Linked DNA regions of Diceros bicornis minor. The protein of the gene in region 1 interacts with the protein of each later gene in a pairwise test. Links are inferred from orthologs where the notes say so. Each region holds a gene or a part of one and is shown on either strand. Other genes may lie near its edges. The genes, in order: HPRT1 and ISCU.

What was found.
Region 2: the proteins of HPRT1 (region 1) and ISCU interact in binary tests that used the Homo sapiens proteins (3 or more experiments, as listed by UniProt). The two-hybrid records come from large-scale screens. The link is inferred for Diceros bicornis minor from reciprocal best matches to the Homo sapiens genes HPRT1 and ISCU.

What each region holds. Positions count from the first base shown.
Region 1 is NC_080781.1:122,365,493-122,376,072, forward strand, and holds the start of HPRT1 (hypoxanthine-guanine phosphoribosyltransferase), read left to right. Parts: upstream 1-5,701; 5' UTR 5,702-5,795; coding exon 5,796-5,822; intron 5,823-10,580. UniProt on the Homo sapiens protein: Converts guanine to guanosine monophosphate, and hypoxanthine to inosine monophosphate. Transfers the 5-phosphoribosyl group from 5-phosphoribosylpyrophosphate onto the purine.
Region 2 is NC_080774.1:18,770,892-18,781,308, reverse strand, and holds the start of ISCU (iron-sulfur cluster assembly enzyme ISCU), read left to right. Parts: upstream 1-6,335; 5' UTR 6,336-6,350; coding exon 6,351-6,464; intron 6,465-8,069; coding exon 8,070-8,183; intron 8,184-9,083; coding exon 9,084-9,194; intron 9,195-10,417. Other genes in the region: SART3 (squamous cell carcinoma antigen recognized by T-cells 3), read right to left, coding at 4,572-4,886.

The DNA.
Region 1 (10,580 bases):
ACTGGGGAAGGGTATACTGAAAATGTTGAGAGAGAAAACAAGAAGAAATAGGGAAGTAGGAGATTGAGGAGGGTGGTGTCCCAGAAGCCAAAGAAATAGATTCAAGAACAAAGTGGTAAATAGTTTCAAAAGGAATAGCAAGGACAGTTATATAAGGCCAAAAATAGTGTCCATTGGATTTGGCAAGATAGCTGTCAATGGTGTTCTTTGTCAAAGCTGTTTCAGTACAATGGTGGGTGCAGAAGACAGACTGCAGTGAGTTTGTTGAGGAAGAAATGAGAAGTGAGAAAATGGATAGAGGAAGCATGGAGGGACTCCTCACCTCTGGGCCTGGAGGAAAGAGGGCAAGAAGCAGTGTAGATGTGGATACAAGGGAATTGATGTGGTTCATGCCTGATTCTTTCAATATCTTCATAAGTTAATGAGTTGAGTCTGTATTTCTGGAGTGAGGATGATGGGGTTGAATGGGGACAAATGTTAAGAACATTCCTGAGGAGAATAAGAGGGGGAGCTGACCAAGGGCTTGTAAAGGATTGTGGAGGGGTGTTTAGGGCCCAGTTGAGCTTTGAGACCATGAATCTTTTAGAGAAACCAATCTCCATTGTTGTAGGATTTTCTCCAGCAGCACTCTGCAGCCTAGTAGGGGTAGACAAAACAGGCTGTGGGGTTGAACCAGGGAGTGGCTGTGCCATCTTGGCAGAGCAGAATTAGAAGGGCACAAAGGACTTCCGGCAGTTGGTGAGAGAGTGGTTTCAGGTAGGATCCAAACTGAACTGGGAAGTAAAGGAAGTAAGGGAAGCCAGGAGCAGGGTGATAGACCATAGAATTGGAGATCTCCCATGAATCTGAGGCACCATTATGCTAGGCAGGGTGGCCAAAGAGAACTGGAGAGAAGAAAATTGTGGTCAGAGATTGGGATACTGCAGTTTAAGAGCTGCCATCAGCAGCATTGGGAAGCACCCCCCACACTGGCCCTATACCATTGTAGGGGGACTACACATTCCAGTTTGCCCAGGACAGTCCAGTTTGTGTCTGTTATGCTGGCATCTTGACCAATTTAGCATTTGTCCCAGATTTTTCACTTTCCCATGAAATGTAAGTATTAATAGTTGAATTGAAATAAACCAGGATGGGTCTGTTGAACCACCACTTTTTAGTTCCAGCTTCAACCTTGGTCTCGTCTACTAGCTTGTGAGATGCATATACAAAGAACCAAGTTCTCACTTTAATACAGAGTTAAACCTAAACGACAACCAGTGATAACCCTTCTCCCTTTTCCTAATCTTTTCCAAATGCAATATAACTAACACCTCCCTCTCAAGGACGGCGTGCTGGGCATTCACTGATAACAAAGCAAGTGTACTCAGACGCTAGGAGTTAGAGACAACGGACTCATTCTTGTCCCCGGGTTGCGGGGGATGGGGAGGAGTATTCACCATTGTGCCCCTTGCTGGACACTGGGTGTGCCAGCCAAGGCCAAAGCCTGCAAGATACGTGAAGCTGCCAGGCCACCAGTCGGTAGGCCAGTGGATGTAGGAAATTACATATTTACGTGTATGTAAAATATTTTCAGGAAATATAGAGGCTGAGGAGTCCTGCCATAGAACATACGGCCAGTAGTCTGAATGCTCTTGGTACAATGGCTATGTCATTCATTATATGGTGCAAATCTACAACCCTTTATTTTTTTAAAATTTGCAGTCCACCCTTTCAGCAGGTGAGTCCAAAAACTAAAGTGCATAATTAATGAAAAATTAAATACCGAATTTGTTACTCAAGAAACTTGATCATGAATGTGTAACATGAACAAAACATTTGTTGACATTTATCATACCCACGAGCATGGGGCACATTGGTATCCCTGACCACATGAAAACCAGAAGGTATAAATCTGCGGAGACAGCATCAGCATCTACCTCAAAGGTTTGTAGTCATTTTAAGAAGACTGGGCCCAAAGATGATGATTTAGCGGGGTGCAGCTGCAGAGAGGGTATTAACACATATTGCTCTGTGAGTGACTTTTGTTTAGAACAAATGACTTTTCTTCAAAATTCATTTGCTCATTTTTATTTCAAGTTTTCTCGTACATGGCGAAAAGTGAAGTGATAGCTTTTAATGAGTAGCTCTCTCAGCAAAAGAACTTCACAAACAGCTAAATGATGCCAGTTTTGTATTGATATCATTAGATGCTTCAAATAGAAAATCAGTTGTATTAGTCAGAGTTCTGCAGAGAAACAGAACTAACAGAATGTGTGTGTATATATGTATAAAGACAGAGAGAGAAAGGGATAGAGAGAATTTATTTTAAGGAATTGGCTCACGAGATTGTGGAGGCTTGGCGAATCCAAAATCTCACGGAGTAGGCCGGCGGACTGGAGGTTGAGGGAAGAGCTGCAGTTCCAGTCCAAAGGCAGCCTGCTGGCTGAATTGCTTCTTGCATGGGGAGGTCAGCTTTTGCTCTATTCAGGCCTTCAAATAATTGGATGAGGCCCACCCACATTATGGAAGGTAATCTGCTTTACTCACAGTCCACTGATTTAAATGTTAATCTCATCCAAAAAACACCTTCACAGAAACATCCAGAATAATGCTTGACCAAATATCTGGGCACTGTGGCCCAGCCAAGTTGACACATACAAGTAACCCTCACATTAGTTTACTTCCAGTAATGGTTCAATCTTTCATCTAATTCATGGAATCAAAGTAAAGCTTATGGAAATTTATTCTGATGAAAGTGAAACACCTGACATTATTGAGAAAGCTATTGTAAATTCAGCTTAAAAATTCAACATTTAGGATAAGTATTTTTGCGGTTAAAATTTTTTTTCATAGAAATGCACATTTTGGTGGAGCACAGCACCATGGTAAAAACAAAGTTCTTACTAAATGAAGAAACATGTGGAGCAGAAATATACTTGGAATTGGTTGTGGTGCACAAATAATTCCTCATTATGTGCAAACATGTAGACTACAAAATTGTTTCTGGAAAGGCAGGAGTGGGGAAGGGGAATCTTGGTTTATACCCATGCTTTCCTTATTTCTTCCTGCGTGCAGATATTCTAGTAAAGAACAGTGGCATACCTAGCATATTTGATAGCCAGAGTAGATCATTTTTTTTTATGTTTTTTTTTTTTTTGAGGAAGATTGGCCCTGAGGTAACATCTGCGAATCCTCCTCTTTTTTTTGCTGAGGAAGACTGGCCCTGGGCTAACATCCATGCCCATCTTCCTCCACTTTAATATGGAACGCCTGCCACAGCATGGCCTGACAAGCGGTGCGTCGGTGTGCGCCCGGGATCTGAACCAGCGAACCCCGGGCCGCCGCAGCAGAGCGCGTGCACTTAACTGCTTGCGCCACCAGGCCGGCCCCTGGAGTAGATCATTTTTTAACAAAAAAATGACAAAATTATATGACAAATTCATTTTGTCTATATGACAAAATTATTTTCTGTAATAATTAGTAATAACCATTATTTTCTTGATTTCATCTTTAGTTTTAAAACAAAATTTTAAAAGAATACACTTCAATTTTAAATATATTGTCCAAATTCAGTAAAATATTTCATATATGAACCAGATTTTCACTTACCAAACAAAAGTATTACGTCTTACATTGCGCTTTGCTGTTTTAAGTTTTAAACGCAAATAAAAGCTCCAGGTTGTCACACAGAATGACAGGATTTAAATAATAGTACTGTTTGTTTGTCTTTACAATTACTGGGCTATCACTGTTTATTTCAAATCTCTGTTAAAATACAGGAGTATGTGGTACCACAGAGGTTGGAGAAAGAAAGTGCAAGGCAGAAGCAAGCTGGAATGGTTCTGGAAGTGTTGCGGACCTAATTTAGAAACAAGTGTGGTCAGCTGAGTCAGGGGCTGAATTTATAACCGAAAGTTCTCTGAATTAACTTCCCAGTGGAACACAATGTTTGTTAAAAGAGTAAGTAATAAAAATGTGCTGATAGGAACTTCAAAGTCTATACCCAATAGAAATGCATTCATATGTTCACCAAAAGATATGGAAAAAATGTTCACAGCAACACTATTTGTAATAACCCAAACCTGGAAACTGCCGGAATGTCTCATCAACAGGAAGAATGGATAAAAACTTAGAGGCTAAGAATTGTTTAAGGCAAAAATGTGGAGTACATAACATTGGTATTATCATTCATGGAAGCAAGCACTATGCTAGGCCCTTTTGCAATAGTTTGTTTAATCCTCACCATGCGCTGTGACAGAGATATTATCCGCATTTGACATATGAGGAAACTGAGGCACACAGAGGTCAAGGATCCTGCCCAAGGTCATAACACTAGTTAGTGGTGAACTCAGGTGTTTTTTTTTTTTTTTTTTTGTGAGATCGGCCCTGTGCTAACATCTGCCAATCCTCCTCCTTTTTTGCTGAGGAAGACTGGCCCTGGCCTAACTAATCCATGCCCATCTTTCTCTACTTTATATGGGATGCCGCCACAGCATGGCTTGCCAAGCAGTCCATCCGTGCGTGCCCCGGATCCGAACCGGTGAACCCCGGGCTGCTGCAGCGAAGCGCGCGCACTTAACCGCTTGGGTCACTGGCCAGCCCCTGAACTCAGGATTTGAACTCAGATCTTTCTCAGTCCAAAGCCCACATGTACCTTTTCCGTTATAGTCTGTCGCCTCTCCGTGATAGATAGGGAACATAGAGAAATTGAGTTCACAATTCACACACACGAAAATTATAACTGCTATTATTTCTTGAGCACCTACTATGTGGCAAGTACTATGCTAGGTGCTTTACATAAATGATTTTTACAATTCTCATAATAACCCTTCACAGCAAGAATTGCTCTTCTCATTCTTTAAATGAAGAGACTGAAGCGCAGAGAAATTCGATGACTTGCCCAGTTTCACAAATCTCCTACCATCACATATCCCTCAGTGGTCTTAATAGAGGCCACCAGCTCTGTGCTGGGCACTGTAGTGGGTGCTGGAGCTATACAGATGAGTACATTAGGAAGGGAACAACTGCTTGCCTGACCTATTTAAGAGCTGAGGAAGATTTTTTTCCAGTTCCATATAGGGAATTGTGGAGGCAAAAATAAAGATCAGTAACAGCGATCGTTCCTATTTACTGATTGTGCACTGTCCTAAGTGCTGTACCAGATATATATACATATATCATTTTTAATCCTCACCACGATCCTGTTAATATCCTCATTTTACTGAGATGAAAAGAGAGGCTCAGTGAGTCTGATTTGCACAAAGTCACAGAGCATTTAAGTGTTCCCTTGTACCCTGATCTGGCTGGCTCTAGGGCTCAACTCTTAAACCAGTTAAAGATTTTTGTTAGAATTGAGTGAGGAAAATGGAAGCCGCAAGGCAGTCCAAGGTCTTGGGAAGGGGACGCCGGCTGAGAGGAACCACGCGGTGACCGGAACCTGAAGAGCGGGCGCCCAGTTGAGGGCCACTAGGAAGACACGCGGGCGGCGGTAGTTCGGGGCATTCGGGAGCCACCTGGCTGGGAGACTGAGGGAAAGGAGGTGTAGAGGCTGCGCAGGCGGAGTCGCCGCTGCTTCCGGAAGAAAACGCCCCCCTACCACCTCGGGAGCGGGAACCGTGTAGGCCTCGGGGGAGGCGCGCGGGGGCGTGCAGGCGGGCGTGGGGCGGAGCCTCGGAGCGGGGGCGGGGCCTGCGTCGCCCCGGCTCCCAGCGCGGCGGTGGCGGCGGAGAACGCTCGCGTGACCCTCGCGGCTTTCCCGCGCTGCGCCGCCGCTTCCTTCTCCTCAGACTGCCGTCAGCCTGCGCGCCGGCTCCGTTATGGCGAACCTCAGCCCCAGTGTCGTGGTGAGCAGCTTGGCCCGCCAGGCCGGTGGCGGCGGCGCCTGGTCCCTGAGGCGCGGGGCCCGCAGTGCGGGCTCGGGCCGGGGTGGCCTGGGGAAGCCCGGGGGCGGGGGGTGGCCGCAGCTTCCCTGGGTCGGCTTTACTATGTCGCCGCAGGGCGGCCTGGGGGACGGAATGGCGAGCTTTGGGGTGGGCGCGTCCCCTGGAGAGCCCCGGACAAGAGGGCTGCGTGTGGCGAGAGAGAGTGGAAATGGCGTTTTGGTTGACAAGTGCCGCCTGCGAGCGTGCTTGGGGGAGGGGCCGTGGGCCAGTTCGGGAATGATCTGACGGGGTGAGGGTGGCGGCTTTCTCCGGAGAGGGCCTGCTCTGCAAATTTGGGGTGTGGGGGTGAGGTGCTCAGGGCACTGCAGTAGAGGCCCTGGCACGGAAACGACCACATAGGAGGGTGTGTGGGGACGGGTGTCTTCATCTAGTCCTGCAGATATTAGAATGAATGTTTGTGGGAATGTACATTGCCTCCCTAAATCCTGGCTTGGTGGCGGTAACCATGCCAACCTTTTGACACACCGAGAAAATAGTGAAACGCTATTAGGTCATTTTCCCACGGCCCAGGGGTAGCCAGGCCTCGAATTCAGGTACTCGGGAGTCGGGAGTCTGGATCCTGTGCACTTTGATGCTGCAAGGGACAAAAAAAATGCGAATATGGTCCTTATCCTCAAGGACATTCATACCGTAATCAGCCTTTCGTATCCTGTCTCTAACCACATTGGTTTGTTTTCTTGTTTCTCGAACAAGCCAAGCTGCTCCCCTCCCTCTGTCTCTGATCATGCTTGGTAAAACAGCCAACCCCCCTCTCGACAGTTTAATGCCGTAGCCTGCGTTATTATTATTATTGTTGTTGTTTTAGCAGTTACCTGATTACCTGTTGATTCTCTCTCCCACTAAAATAAACTTTATAAGGGTGGGAATAACCACTGTAACTCCAGTGCCTGGCATGTAAGAAATTCTCCATAATGGTTTGTTGGATGAATAAATAATTAACCACTTGAGCCCTTAAAAGGGAAGAGTTCTATTTTATATTAGGCATTGTGACTTAAGGTAAAGAGTAGGAGTCTGGCCTGGAATCCTGCTTGTTTGGGCTATTTACTAGCTGTGTGGCCTTGGGTAACTTACTTCACCTTTCTGGGCTTAAGTGTCCTTATATATAACTGAGGTGCTAGCTGCCTCGTGGTGTTATTGAAAGGATGATAAGACGGCCTATGTGAGTAAACAACCTTTGCATGGTCCCTGACTGAGAATAGTAATAATAGCTATCATTGTGTTTAACTACATAGTCCTATTGACTCCTCAAAACAACCCTGTAACAGCAGTATGATTATTACTGTTTTAGAGGAGAGGAATCTTGGACGCCTCAGAGAAGTTAAATAACTTAACCTTTTAACATACCCATGTCACACAGTTATTAAGAGGGAGCTCAGACTCGAACCTAGGTCTCTCTCAAGAGCCCATGCACTTAAATGTTAGGCTGATAGTAGGTACTCAAAAATGGTAGGGGCTGTTGTTTTTATTCAATTGCTGAAGAAGTTAGATGCTTTTAGCTTTGGGGTATGATGCCTGCCCCATCATACAGTGAATTATTATTGCTAGAACTGGCTTTTAGTTATGCTTGAACATCAAGATATTCATTGTATTTTTGGTTTGCAAATTCCTGTTCCTTTTTTTATTTCCTTCCAAGAAATTGTCTGCATGTTAGTAATAACAAATATTTAAATAGTGCTTACTATGTGCTGGCTACCGTTCTAAGCCCTTTACATATATTAACTGGTTTGATATTTATTTAAAAAATTTCTGTGGCTCGGAGAGGTTAAGTAACTTGCCCAAAATCTCCCAGCAATGCTAGGATTTGAATTTAAGTTTTCTGGCCCCAGAGTCTGTTCTTACTCTCTCCACTTTTAAGTTAGTAGTGACAATGGTAGGTATTTATTTAGTGCTTACTATGTTTTAGGCATTGAGGTAAGTATTTTGCAGACATTATTTAATGTAAACGTCCCAAAGTTGCATAATAGGTACCCTATGAGGTAGATAAACATTGGTGTGACCTTGGAGGCACAGATTGGTGAAGTAACTTGCCCAACATCACTCAGATGAAATTGGCCCGCAGATCTGCCTGATACAACCCATGCTGCTTGTAACTGTCATATTAAACTGCTAGGGTAAATTTGGACACACTTGAACTAAGAACAAGCTTCTGGATTTTTGCGAATTAATGTGAAACATCAGATATGCATTATGTGGATATAATATAAATTTCAGGGTAGTAGTGTTAGAAATGTATTCTTATACTAACTGGACTTAAATCTTACCCTGCCAGTAATTTTCCAAGAATTGATAAAATAGTGCATTTTCTTTGGCCACAACTCTCTCGTTATTATCAACAGGGTTTGGACTGACATTGGTCACTCACTGTAGACCAAAATTATTGTTCGTAACCACCAAGAAAAGGAGCAGTTCAGTTTGGAGGTTTCATTCTGCAAATTGAGTAATGTGACACGCATACTATAGATCCATCTTAATTGTTTTCTGTCTGTTATTTGTATCTGGGTATTGCAGAAAGTCCCTAGGTAGGCTGTGGGAAAAAAACAAGAGGACCAACCAGATCAGCAGAGAAAGGGCTCCTGGAGTTTTCTGTAGTTTGTTAGGCAGTAACTGATTCATGTCATTTTTTAACTGGGCCCCCTGTGTGAAGAGTTGCTTCAAATGCACTAGTATACTCTTCTTCCTTTCATAATTATATATTGTGTAGATTCAGTAAGATTTATATGCTGTAAAAGTGTCAACCACCATCATTAATATCAATATTGAGACTCGATTGTTATTTTCCTGCCAGTGGCTACCAAAGTACTAACATTTAGAGTAATTCACCACTAATAAGAATTCAAACCAACACTTCAAATTGCTATGGAACTACTATCTTCAACACTATGCTTCTAATAATTGACAGGTATGTATTTTTTTGTCCAGAAGGAACGTGTCATTTCACTGTGCACACTAATAAAAGGAAAGATCATAGTGTTGGATAAATTCATGTCCTTGCATATATAGCAGTTGTGGGCCCACTTACCTAGGAGCAGCTAATAATTTATCCCTGGGTTGAATAGTCAGGTAAACCTTTTAATTCTTTAACCCTTAGGAGGGAGGGCAGGCAAGTTATATACATAATTTATTTGTAAGACTGATATGAAATTGAAAGATATACTACTAGCTTAAATTATTTTCACATTTAGGAATATGTGCATCAGTAATTCATAATTTTGGTTTTATGATGCCCTGAGTTATCACAGATTATCCCAAGGGAATAGCATATTATCTGCTTTGGTGTTTTTTGAGAATTTTAAAATATCTGGATATAAAAGGTAAATGCCACCTAGCAATTTCTGTCCATTCTAGAAGCTTGGAATTGTTGTTGGTTACTAGGAATAAAATAAAATGTAATATATCTACTATTGTATGTCTTTGCATCGCGTACATTTTAAGACTCACTTCCTCACTTCCATTTAGTCTTGTTTGGATGCACGAACATTGTTATTGTTATTATTATTTTCTTAGAGGGCTTCAGTGGCTCTTTATTATTAACTTCTTGTAACCTTGCTCTACATGAGATATGAAGTCATCCAGCAAAGAAGAAATTACCTCCTAAATTATAAAACCAAGGCTATAACAATATCAAAGGCTGGAGAAAATCACATACCCCTTGTTACAAGTGAGGAAGAAATGTCAAATATCATTTATTTTAAAAAATCGTAAAAACATATAAACGTATAAACAACTACTGTCTAAATTTAACAATGTATCAGGTTTCATCCTCTCCACCTTTATCTTTGAATTCCAGTAACTGGTCTGTGGTATAGTATAAAGAACCCTGGTCTGTGAATTAGGAAGTCTGGATTCTAGGCCCCTGTCTGACACTAACTAGCTCTGAGACATTAGGGTCCTTATCTCTAATATCAAAGGTGAGGGTTAAATGGCACTTGAATTACACTCTAGCATACTGGCTTCTTAATTTTGAATATAAGTATGAAGTAGCTAAGAAGGACTAATAGAGTGTTTAAATGGAATGAAAACCAAGTAATAATTTATTGCTTCCAAAATGTTCTTTGGATTCTTGGGCTTTCCTCTCGTTAAATGTATCCAGGCTCCAAACTTTCTTTTCTCTGCCAGTTACCTTTTTCCTTGGTTCCTTTAGCTTTTACCTTCTACTTTAGCCTTTACGAACATTGTTATTTATTTATTTATTTTTTTGGTGAGGAAGATTAGCCCTGAGCTAACATCTGTTACCAGTCCTCTTTTTGCTGAGGAAGATTGGCCCTAGGCTAACATGCATGCCCATCTTCCTCTACTTTATATGGGACACGGTGCGTTAGCCTGCGCCTGGGATCCGAACCAGAGAACCCCGGGCCGCCAAAACAGAGCATGTGAACTTAATTGCTACACCATCCCAAACATTGTTATTTTTTGACCACAAAGAGACTCAAGCAGTCCTAGTCACAGATGATAAATTGATATTGCAAGTGTTATCTTAGCTCTAGTTAATTTCCTTGCTTACTGTAATTTTAGGTAATATGTCTTTGTAATTAGAAATTTTGTGTAAACCACAAAACTTTTAATGTATGAAAACCATTATTATATGTGTGACATACATAATTATGAAGAATTTGTGATGTCAGTTTTACTGGAAAGTAAAATTATTTTGGTAATTTATGA
Region 2 (10,417 bases), on another chromosome or scaffold:
TACGACACAGGTGGCACTGGTTGTATCCACTAAAATGAACTCATGACCTGTGACCATAACCCCAGTTTGACTTAGAAAAACTCTTATACATGTTCAATAGTGGCACAGTTCACCAGGAACAATGTTCCTTGTAGCTTGTTTGTGATAGGAAAAAGAAAAAAACTAAGCAATCCAAATGCCAGAAGAACTGATAAACTGTGAGATACCCACACAATGGTACACTAAATACAGTCAGGTGCCACATAACGTTCTGGTCAATGACGGCCCACATATACAACAGTGGTCTCATGAGATTAGTACCATGTAGCCTAGGTGTGCAGGAGACTATACCACCTAGGTTTGTGTAAGTACTCTATAATGTTTACACAAGGATGAAATCGCCTAATGACACATTTCTCAGAACATATCCCCGTCACTAAGCAACACATGACTGTACACAGTAGTCAAAGGGAATGAATTGCAGCTACAAGTAGCATAAATAAATCTTAGAGACATATTGCTGAGTGGAGAGCAGTCTCAGATTACATATAGCATGATACACTTTTTAAAAAGCTCAAAAATGAACAAAAGTGGACAATATACTGCTTAGGGATGCACACCTAGGTGATAAAACTATACCTGTTTTAAAAGAGAAGGAAGCACACAAGATTCAAGAAAGTAGTTACCTGGGTTTAGGAGGGGGTAAGGGGAGGGGCAAGGCAGAGCAACAGGAGAGAAGCCACAGGTGCACACAACAGTACCAGCAAAGTCCTCTTAGACCGACCGGTGGGGTGAGTGGTGTTCATTTGATTACCATATCCTATAATTTATAGACGTAAACTGCTCTGTATGTATCAACGCCCATGCAAAAAGATAATAAAGAAGAATCGATAACTGATAACAGCATGACGTAATTTTTTTTTAAATCTTAAGACTTTTAGCAATGCTCTGCTCATGACTTATAAAACTCGACAAGCTAACCACTTGTCGAGGGGTGGGGGGGGGCGGTTTGAAAACGCACTGGACTAGGTCAGGACACAGCGCTCTCACCTCCACTGCTCCTCAGTGTCCTCCCTGCAACACGAAGGAGCTGGAGCAGACCTCTGGTTCTCAAGTCAGGACACTCATGTTCCAAAACTGACTGTCAAGTGCGTCGCATAAGTAACAAAAGTTAAAGAAGGGAAGCTGGTGAAAGATGTACTTTCCACAATAAAGAACATTCCAGGTCCTCCCTGTTACCCCCCCACTCTCGACGCACCTGGGTCTGAGCATGTGTTCGGAGCATGAAGGGGGGTGGGAGGGTCTTTGCTAGTTAGGGTGAGGAATGTCTGTGCAAATGCCCCTCGGCTGGATACCACGTGTGGGTCAGAAGAAAAAGTTGGAAAAGTGACTTACGTAGAGGAGCTGCCTTTAAGGTGGCTTTTGGTTGGGGCCGGCCCCATGGCTTAGCGGTTAAGTGCGCACGCTCCGCTGCTGGCGGCCCGGGTTCGGATCCCAGGCGCGCACCAACACACCGCTTCTCCGGCCATGCTGAGGCCGCGTCCCACATACAGCAACTAGAAGGACATGCCACTATGACATACAACTATCTACTGGGGCTTTGGGGAGAAAAAAAAGGAGGAGGATTGGCGATAGATGTTAGCTCAGAGCCGGTCTTCCTCAACAAAAAGAAGAGGATTAGCATGGATGTTAGCTCAGGGCTGATCTTCCTCACAAAAAAAAAAAAAAAAAAATGAGAGACTTTAAAAAAAAAAAAAAGAGGTGGCTTTTGGTCTAAATTTCTGACTTTTAGGCCCAAAAATGAAGATACGGTATGTAGGGAGGTGCTCTGAAAGTATGTATATTAAATGCACACTGAAATGCAGTAAGAGACATCTCCAGAGTTCACTCGGCACTGACAAACGAGTGCATATGCTGGTCTATTCCAGACTCAGAACATCATTAATGACAAAGGATGCTTTACAGCAAGAGGGGGCTTGGCCAATGCACGAAGTGACCTGCTGACTTCCTAACTCCCTGGAATTAGCGTGGAGAGGTAACAGATGGGCCTGATGGAAAGGACCCAGCTGCTGCGATCAGGGAAAGGCGGGGACAGGAGAACAGAGCACAGAGCAGGTCTGTGTCACACAGGCCCTGGCATAGCACCCACGTGCCAAACTGTGCCAGGAGCGTAATGCGCATCGTGTCACTTAAACTGCACAACAGCCCTGTAAGGGAGGGACTACTATAACCCTCATTTTCCCACCTGGGACCCCGCAGACCCAGAGAGCTGAAATACTGTGCACGAAGTCTTTCCACTACTGAGCAGAGGCCTTGAGCTCACATCCGGCTGCAAAGCCATGCTCTGCACTGCTCCGTGGTGCACTAACGAATCTGCCCGAGGGGGCTTTTCATTTCAGGACCAAACGCAAATAACGGGAAATCGCTGCTTTTGTTACACGGACAGACACCACACTATTTTCAAGCTTTCATAAAACACACCTAGGGATGAGAACCGGAATTCTCAAATATAGCAAGGCCGAATTTCTCACAGACCTATCTGTAAGTTATTCATCATTATGCTCAGCCATAAAAGCAACTACAGCAGGAAGTAGAAGCTGTGAGATCCAAGGGAGGTTTGGAAAAATTGGAAAAGTCCATTTCTAGACCCAGGACAAAGAGAATAAGGCCAGAGGCTCTTCAATTCACCATCACTGGCCAGGTCCCCTCCTGTGTGGTCACCTTCAGAGCTCCAGCCCAGCCTCAGTGGCCTGAGGCAGGGCAGGCAACTGCAGAGCACCAGGAGACCTCTGCTCTGATCCATCCTCCTTCCTAGTAAGCTGGGTACCCTCATTAAGGACTTCTCTGCTTCCAGGCCTCCCCTTCCCACTAAAACAGGTTATCCTATTTCCTCTACCTCACAGAATAGTAAGGTCCAAGTGAGCTAATGGCTCACTGAAAGGCCCAAGACTCCAAGTCTGAAGAACAGACGTGCACCATAATGACAGGGACACGCCAGTCTGGCACTCCATATCACACTGTATTTGCTGAACGAGCAAAAGACTGAACGATCATCAGCAAACTTCTTTAAAAGAAGCAGAAGTGGTAACCACCTGCCTACCCCAACTGGTTCCCGTGACAATCAGATATGACGACGAGTGGGACAAGCTATACCAATGGATGATATCACTACTCCATAACTTGACAAATATATCACAGTCAGAGAGGACATTATAAGCAAACTCACACCCAGCAAGCTTAAGTGAGGAACCTTCACATCACTAAGTGATTTCACATCCAGAGTGGCATCTGGTCCACAGACAACCCTGAAAAGTTCAAATCCCCTTATGAGTGACCTTAAGCAAATCATTTCATCATTTGTGCTGAGCCTCTGTTTCCTCATCTGTAAACTGAGAAGGTGCTAGATCTCTTCCGTTTGCCCCTCCAAATCCACTCCACCCCCTCCACGCTGTCCTGTGCCCCCGCCACCCCCACCGCCACCGTGTGGACCATATCAATGGGCTTCCTGGCTCTCCTGCTTCCAGCAGAGTTTGCCCAGTAGGAGGCACCGGGAGATGTCTGGAGAGGAAGAGAGGGAGGTGAGGGTATTTCTTCCCCCACCTCAATCTCTGATAGGAAACTGGGGCCGCATCCCTTGCCCAAAAGTCTTAGCTCCTCTCAGGTGCCCTCCCACCCAGCTATTCAGAAAACCAGGCACTCCCCTCACTCCTTCAGGCCTAAAAGTGGACACAAGGTCCTGCTGTTATTAGTTCTTAAGTGCTAACCTTCATTCCTGATGTCCCTGCCCACACCTTTACAAACACAGTAGTCCCTTTATTGACCTTTTCTCAAATTATCCTAATTTGAATGCACCACCTATTTCCTGCTGGGATCCTGGATTACACAGGAGATCCACCACCTGTATCTCATAAAGTCACAGATTAGAAGTCACGTCACTACTAGGTGCCCCCCACTGAATTATATTACCGTTATGTCGTTTACATGGTGCAGGAATTGCTACTCCCAATTTACAGATGAGGAAGCCAAGGCTCAGAGAAGCTAAGCAACGTGCCCAAGCACGTACAGGCGTGGAAGAGCTAGAACTGGGGCCTTCGCCTCCAGACGCTGAAATCCCCACCCTTCTATTTCTGTGATCGTCGTCACGGTCAACATTTTCTGCCACGCCACATTTCAGCATTATCATCATTCCTACAGAAAAATAACCCTCTCTTACGAAGCGAATTTTATTTCTACTGCTGGGCATAGCCTAACGGTGTGGTGAAGAGTGGGAGTGCTGGAGTCGGTTCAAAGTTCAAGACCTGACTCGCCACTTGCAGGAAGTGTGATCTTGAGCCTGAGAATTCTCTCCACGAGGAGCCTGTTTCCTCCCGTAAAACGGGGAATACGCCCCTTCCTTCGCGGGGTCCTTGCGAGGGTTCAGTGGGATAACGCTTGCAAAGCACGGGGCCAGCGGGAAGCGCTCCAACGACAGGAGCTGCGGTGACGATAGCGGTTCTGCGGCCTCGGCGTCTTTATTCCCGCTCAGGACCACGGAGGCGGGCCGGGGCCCGGGGACGCGAGGGAAGGAGCCCGCCGCCCACCCCCGGGCGCACCTGCTCCTCCAGCCGCTCGATCTCCAGCTGGTTCTTCTCCTCCTCTTCGTCGTACTCCCACTCGTACTCCCCGGGGGAGCTCTCCGCCGAGGAAGCCATGGCGTACTCCTCGTCTCCATCGCTCTCGCTCATGCCCTCCTCCTGCTGGTCCCACCCTGGCCCCATGGTCTTGCACGTCGCAGCGGCCACAGCCCGCGATAACACCTTCCTCCGCGTCCTAGCCGCCTTCACCTCCTCCTCCTCTCCCTCGGCCTTGGGCCCAGCGTTGGGCTCAGCCTCCGGTTCCGAAGCCGATGTTGCAGCCGCGGTCGCCATCTTGCGCTTCCAGTGACTCTCGGGTCCTCACGCGGCCGCCGAAGACCCGCAGAAGTAGAAGCTGCCCGCGGCGCGTGCCTGATCAAAACCCCGCACTCTTGCCACTCAAAGGGAAACTGTGAGCTTCGGGTGATGGAAAAATCTCTAAATACACGCCACTCACATTGTTTTTATATACTTGTAAAAGTTTTTTTCAGAGAAAGAAGCTTAATAATATGGCATATGTACGGCCACAACTTCGGACAGAAGATGGGTCTTTGGACCGGAAGTGGAGGCCATTAGAGGACGTCATGGAGGGAGCGTGATGACTGTGGTTAAGGGTTTGGAGCCATCTTGAGAAGGTCAATATGATTCTTGGGATAAACGCCTTGCTTGCGTCTAACCTGGCGCGTGGTTCAGTCTCCCCAGCAACTGAGCGTCAAACGCAGAGAAACCTCCGAGTCCTCTGGGAAGTATCGATTGCACCATCCACGAGAAAAATCCATTTCCCAAAGAGATTCCTCCCCTTTATGTAATGCCTGGTGCCTAGCAGGCGTTAAATAACACGTGCGAGATTTCTCGTTTTCTAAGACCGTATTCTGCAAACCAATATTAATAAATTACATGACTAAACATTTATTCAGAAACTCTTCACTGCCAGGTATTGTCATATAAATTGTGCCAGTTTGCTTTATATTGAAATAGACGCGGACATAAATATACGCATTTTTCTGTTAATCAGGGCATGGTGTTCGTTTCCTTCCTAATTAAGCTTCCCATTTTTGAGGTAGGAAAGTATTGGCGTGTTCATTTATTGCCTTCCTCCTTCGTTAGCAAGCTTAATGGAGCAGGGACTATGTCTTTCCGTTGGATCCCCAAAGCCTATTAGTATAGCGCCTTGACATATGATAGGTACTGAACACATATCTGCTCAATGGATGAAAAAATTGGCCTTGACTTAGTACAAAAGAGAAGATCAAGGCTTAGAAAGCTGATGTCATTTGCCTACAGTCACACAGCCAGGAAGAAGCAGAACCGGGATTCTAACAGGATTGTTCGAGTTTGAATCCCCACTGAGTCAAACTCTGGGCAACCTCAGACAAGCTACTAAGTCGCTCTGAACCTCAACTTCCTAAGCTGCAAAACAGAGTGAAGAAAGGTGGACTAGGTGATGCTCTGCGCCGTATTCCGGCGGTGGGCTTTGTGAACGCGAACGTAGGTCCCGCACTCCAGGAAGCTGAGATCCTAGCAGATACAGAGCCCAGCGCCGAGAACAAACCCGCCTGCGACCCCACAGCTCCCAGCTCCGAGCCCCGCCCGCCCTGAGGGGCGGGGCCCAAGCGCGGACACGTGCACGGAGCGAGAGGGCGCAGGCGCGACGTCGCGGTGACGTAGGAGGAAGCGCGCTCCGAGCTGGGAGCCGACTTGCGGGCGCACCCCACCCCTCGGTCTCGCGCTCGGCCTGCGCAGGCGCAAGCCCGCAAGATGGCGGCGGCTGGAGCGGGCCGTCTGAGGCGGGCGGCGTCGGCCTTGCTGCTGCGGAGCCCGCGCCTGCCCGCCCGGGAGCTGTCAGCTCCGGCCCGGCTCTATCACAAGAAGGTGGGCGCGGGCGAGGGGGCGCGCAGGGCCCGCGCCGGCCGGGGGGGCGGGAGTGCGACGACCGCCGAGGGGCCCCGGGCGTGCCGGCGGAGGCCCAGCCCAGGGAGGAGTGGCCGCGGGGCTCTGCGCGGCCGGGGAGCCCCTGCTACGGCGGGGGAAGGGGCGGCGCCCGGCCCCGGACGGAGGGGCCGCCCCCTCGCTCGACCCTGCCCCTCGCTGCGCAGGAACGCTAACCCGCCTGAAGCAAGCACCGGCTGCGGCTCGTGGAGCCGCCGCCGCCCGGGGCCCGCCGCCCGCCGCGGGGTCTCGCGTCCCGGCCTTTAACTTCCCAACAGTCGGGGGCCTGTTGGGACCTGCCAGCCGCATCCGGGGCCAGACACGCACACCGGCTCCAGCCAGGCCACTGCCCGGGCCCAGTGACCTTGGGCAAGTCACTGCCCCTCGCCGAGCCCTTTTCCCCATTTGTAAAATGGGGGTCTTAGCACTTCTAGATCTACGCGAGGTGATGCTCGTGGAGTCCTCGGCGTGATGCCTAGCACACGGGGACCGTTTATGGTGCCGCAGCTGTTACTGTGGTAGGAAGGAGCCTCTGAGCGGAGTCGGACACGTAACCAGCAGTCATAATGTTTTTATGTATGTTTTGGTTTTTTCGTGGGGGGAGGGGGAGAGGAATAGGCGCAACGTTTACAGCCCTTGCCTTCTGGGGGCGTAAAGTCCCCTAGACGTGAGATTCTTTGACTCCGGAAACTAAGCGAAGAATGCCGTACATCAACATGGGGCAGAAAGTCCAGATTGGACATGACCTTGTAGGTCCTTGGGCTTGGAGTCCGAGTCCGTGGTCGGAGAGGTGGGGGAAAGGAGACTGGAAGATCGGGATACTTAGAGCTAACTGGTAAACGGACCCAAGGCTATTAAAGCGTGTGTGCCAGTGTGAAGAGAGATTTATTCGCTTCTGGCTTCACGATGCCAAGGACTTCCCTCCTCCGCCTCCCGGGGGTGTGTTTTGTTGACATTTCACGCTGAATGAGTTCGAGCTAGCAGCCTTCCAGCCACCAGGGGGCGCTGCTGCACCGGGGGGCTTTCAGGGCCCTGAAATACAGAAACAGGCCTGATGTTATCATCGTACACAAATGCACAGGGTCCATAGCATTGTTCCTTCTGTAACAGTCTCCTTGAGGCTCTGGGAAAGCCTTACATTTCTGACCCGTACTTATTTTTAGAATTTTTGAATAGTAATCATTAACCTTTAAAAATGGATTTTATTTGGAAATAACAAAAATACTGTTTGAGCCCAAATCTGGTGACGTAGGTGGTTAAAGGTCAAGTAATTATGTGTGGTTAAAAACCCTGTGGAATTAAGACATGATTTGGCTGGTTTTTCTCTCGTATCTCAAATCTCTGAAGGTAGTTGGAGAGGAGATACAGAAAGACTTTGGGTCGCAAATGGTTGTCATTGACAGAGGTGTAAGCCTTCCTACCAGGGTGAAATTTGGGATTTAGTGATCGCCTGCCAGGTTCAGCCTGCCGACTTCCGGGAGCTTACTGTCAAGTCGGGGAGACCAGTACCAAAAAAGAGTCATGATTGCTCTCAACCTTTCGTTTCAGGTTGTTGATCATTATGAAAATCCTAGAAACGTGGGGTCCCTTGACAAGACATCTAAAAATGTGGGAACTGGATTGGTGGGGGCTCCAGCGTGTGGTGATGTAATGAAACTACAGGTAGGACCGGTTTTGATCTTGAATGTGAATAACAGTGACCCCTTTGCTTACACAGAGCTTCACTGTTTACAAAGCATGCGCACACACAGCATTTCGTGCAGACTCCATCTTGATTCCTGTGAGATGGGGTGAGTCAGTGTTATAAATTGTCAGAGCAAGGACTGAATGCTAGTCCCCCTGCTAGTAGACTGTGCTGACCCTTTCTGATATAGTAAACTGATCTCCCTTTTCTAGTCACTGGATCAGCTTAAATTCCAGCTTCAGCGAAGTAAAGTTTTTATGAATTTTACTGATCGAAGGAAAACCACAACCGTTCAGCTAGCCACCCTCAGTGAGACAAGAAATGTAATAAATCAAACCTCCCCCAAATTGGCAACAACCTGAAGGTAGTGATTGGCACTTTGGGGAAACCGTAGCTTTATGCACAATCTACTTCATCATGGTGGGTGGGCACCTTGCCAGAGGTTTTCATGCTTATCTTGGAAAACAGAAACAAGGCAGGAGGGAACCACTAAAGGTAACTTGGTGCCAAGAAAAAAGCAATAACCAGAGACCTTTAGTGCAGACCGTCCCAGTGCTTAAAGAGGCAGACTGACCCAGCAGCTGTGAGCAGAACTTCATAGCCAAAAAGCAGGCTAGCATTGCAAAAAAAACTAGGGAGGGGGCATATTTTTCAGCTCATCTTTACCAGCTAAGCCTGTATAATTCTGTATAGTTGTTCCCACGTTTAACTTTTCCTCACTGAGCTCTTTGAAACAAAGCAAGCGCGGTAATTAGTGCCAAAACTTAGTGTGGAAAGAAAGACCACAGCTCTTGGGGAGAGCCCCGGTGAACCTCGGTGAGGGCCAGGTTCTACAGGGCATCTCAGGAATCACTGCCTAACTCCTGTCTCTTTTCTAGATTCAAGTGGATGAAAAGGGGAAGATCGTGGACGCCAGGTTTAAAACATTTGGCTGTGGTTCTGCCATTGCCTCCAGCTCATTAGCCACCGAATGGGTAAAAGGGAAGACGGTAAGGTTGCTTGCCAATTGGACGGCAAGTAAATCGAATTCCCCACAAACCTGGCTCTCAGTTAAGGGAAGGGTCTAGTGAGTGAAAAAAAGTAACTATGATTTTTTCAAAATATCATTCTAAGAATTTTTTTTTAATTTCTCCTACCCAGAGTGTGATTAAATTCTTCTCTGTGTTGGGAATTATGGATAATTTTGTTAAGTGCTTTTTAGTTTTTTGGGGTTTTTGTTGGTGGTGGTCATTTTTATTTGTTTGGAGATTTTGGTGGTGTTTTGTTTTTAATTAGATAGAAAAAAGATCCTCATGTCTCCCTCTAACAAAATAGAACTGAAAAGAAATCTTTGCCTTTCTCCAAGGTTGCTGACGTTGTTATAACTTCTTAGAAGTCTAAGTCCGAGGAGGGTATTGTTTAGTGGTTTGTTTTCTTGTTTATTTCTTTCCATGATGTTCCAGGAAGGATTGCAGATGGCTCACAAGGATCATGAAATAACAAGTAGCCTGTGCTAAAGAGGATTGGAGAATAAAAACACAGTGAGGGTGGGGGCAAAGTGAGCAAATAAATCAGAACAGTGATCCCAGTGGCTGATTGGCAGCCCTCTGAGTGGGGAGATAAGAAAGGTTGGAACATCCTTTCCATCCTTTTCTCTGCCAGAGCCTCTCCCCGGCAGCTGCAAAGGTAGAAGGTCCCAAACCCAGCGAAGAGCTAGACTTCCTAAAGTCCGGTTGTTATTAAAACCTCTCAGGAAAGCCAGACTGCAGGGTCCTCGTCTCTGCGGCCCCAGGGCTCCAAGTTCAGGAAGCTGAGTCATGGCTTGGGGCGCTGGGCCGCTCCACAGCAGAGCGGTGTGCCCGGCCTCGAGCTACCTGCTTCCTGAGGCTCAGGGCCCTCTGGCTGGCAGGCTCCTATCCTGTTCGGATAGGAGCACGGACCTATCCTGTTCTGGCAGGAGGGGACCCTGCAGGGGTTTGTCAAGCATTATCCTGAGGGAGAGGGGAGATGAGGGAACAAGGCCCCTGTGCTCCCAGGACCTGGCCCTTAGGGCGCTGTGAGTCGTCATCAGACACTGGGGGAAGAGGGCCTTTCTTTGACCTTGAGATCCTCCCATCTGAGTTTCCAGAGCTTGAAGCATAATTTAGTGGATTTAGTGGAATTGGGAAACAGGGTGCAGATGGGGAAACCTGGCTTTCCTTAAGGCAGTGGGGCTCTCTTCCACTTGGGCAAG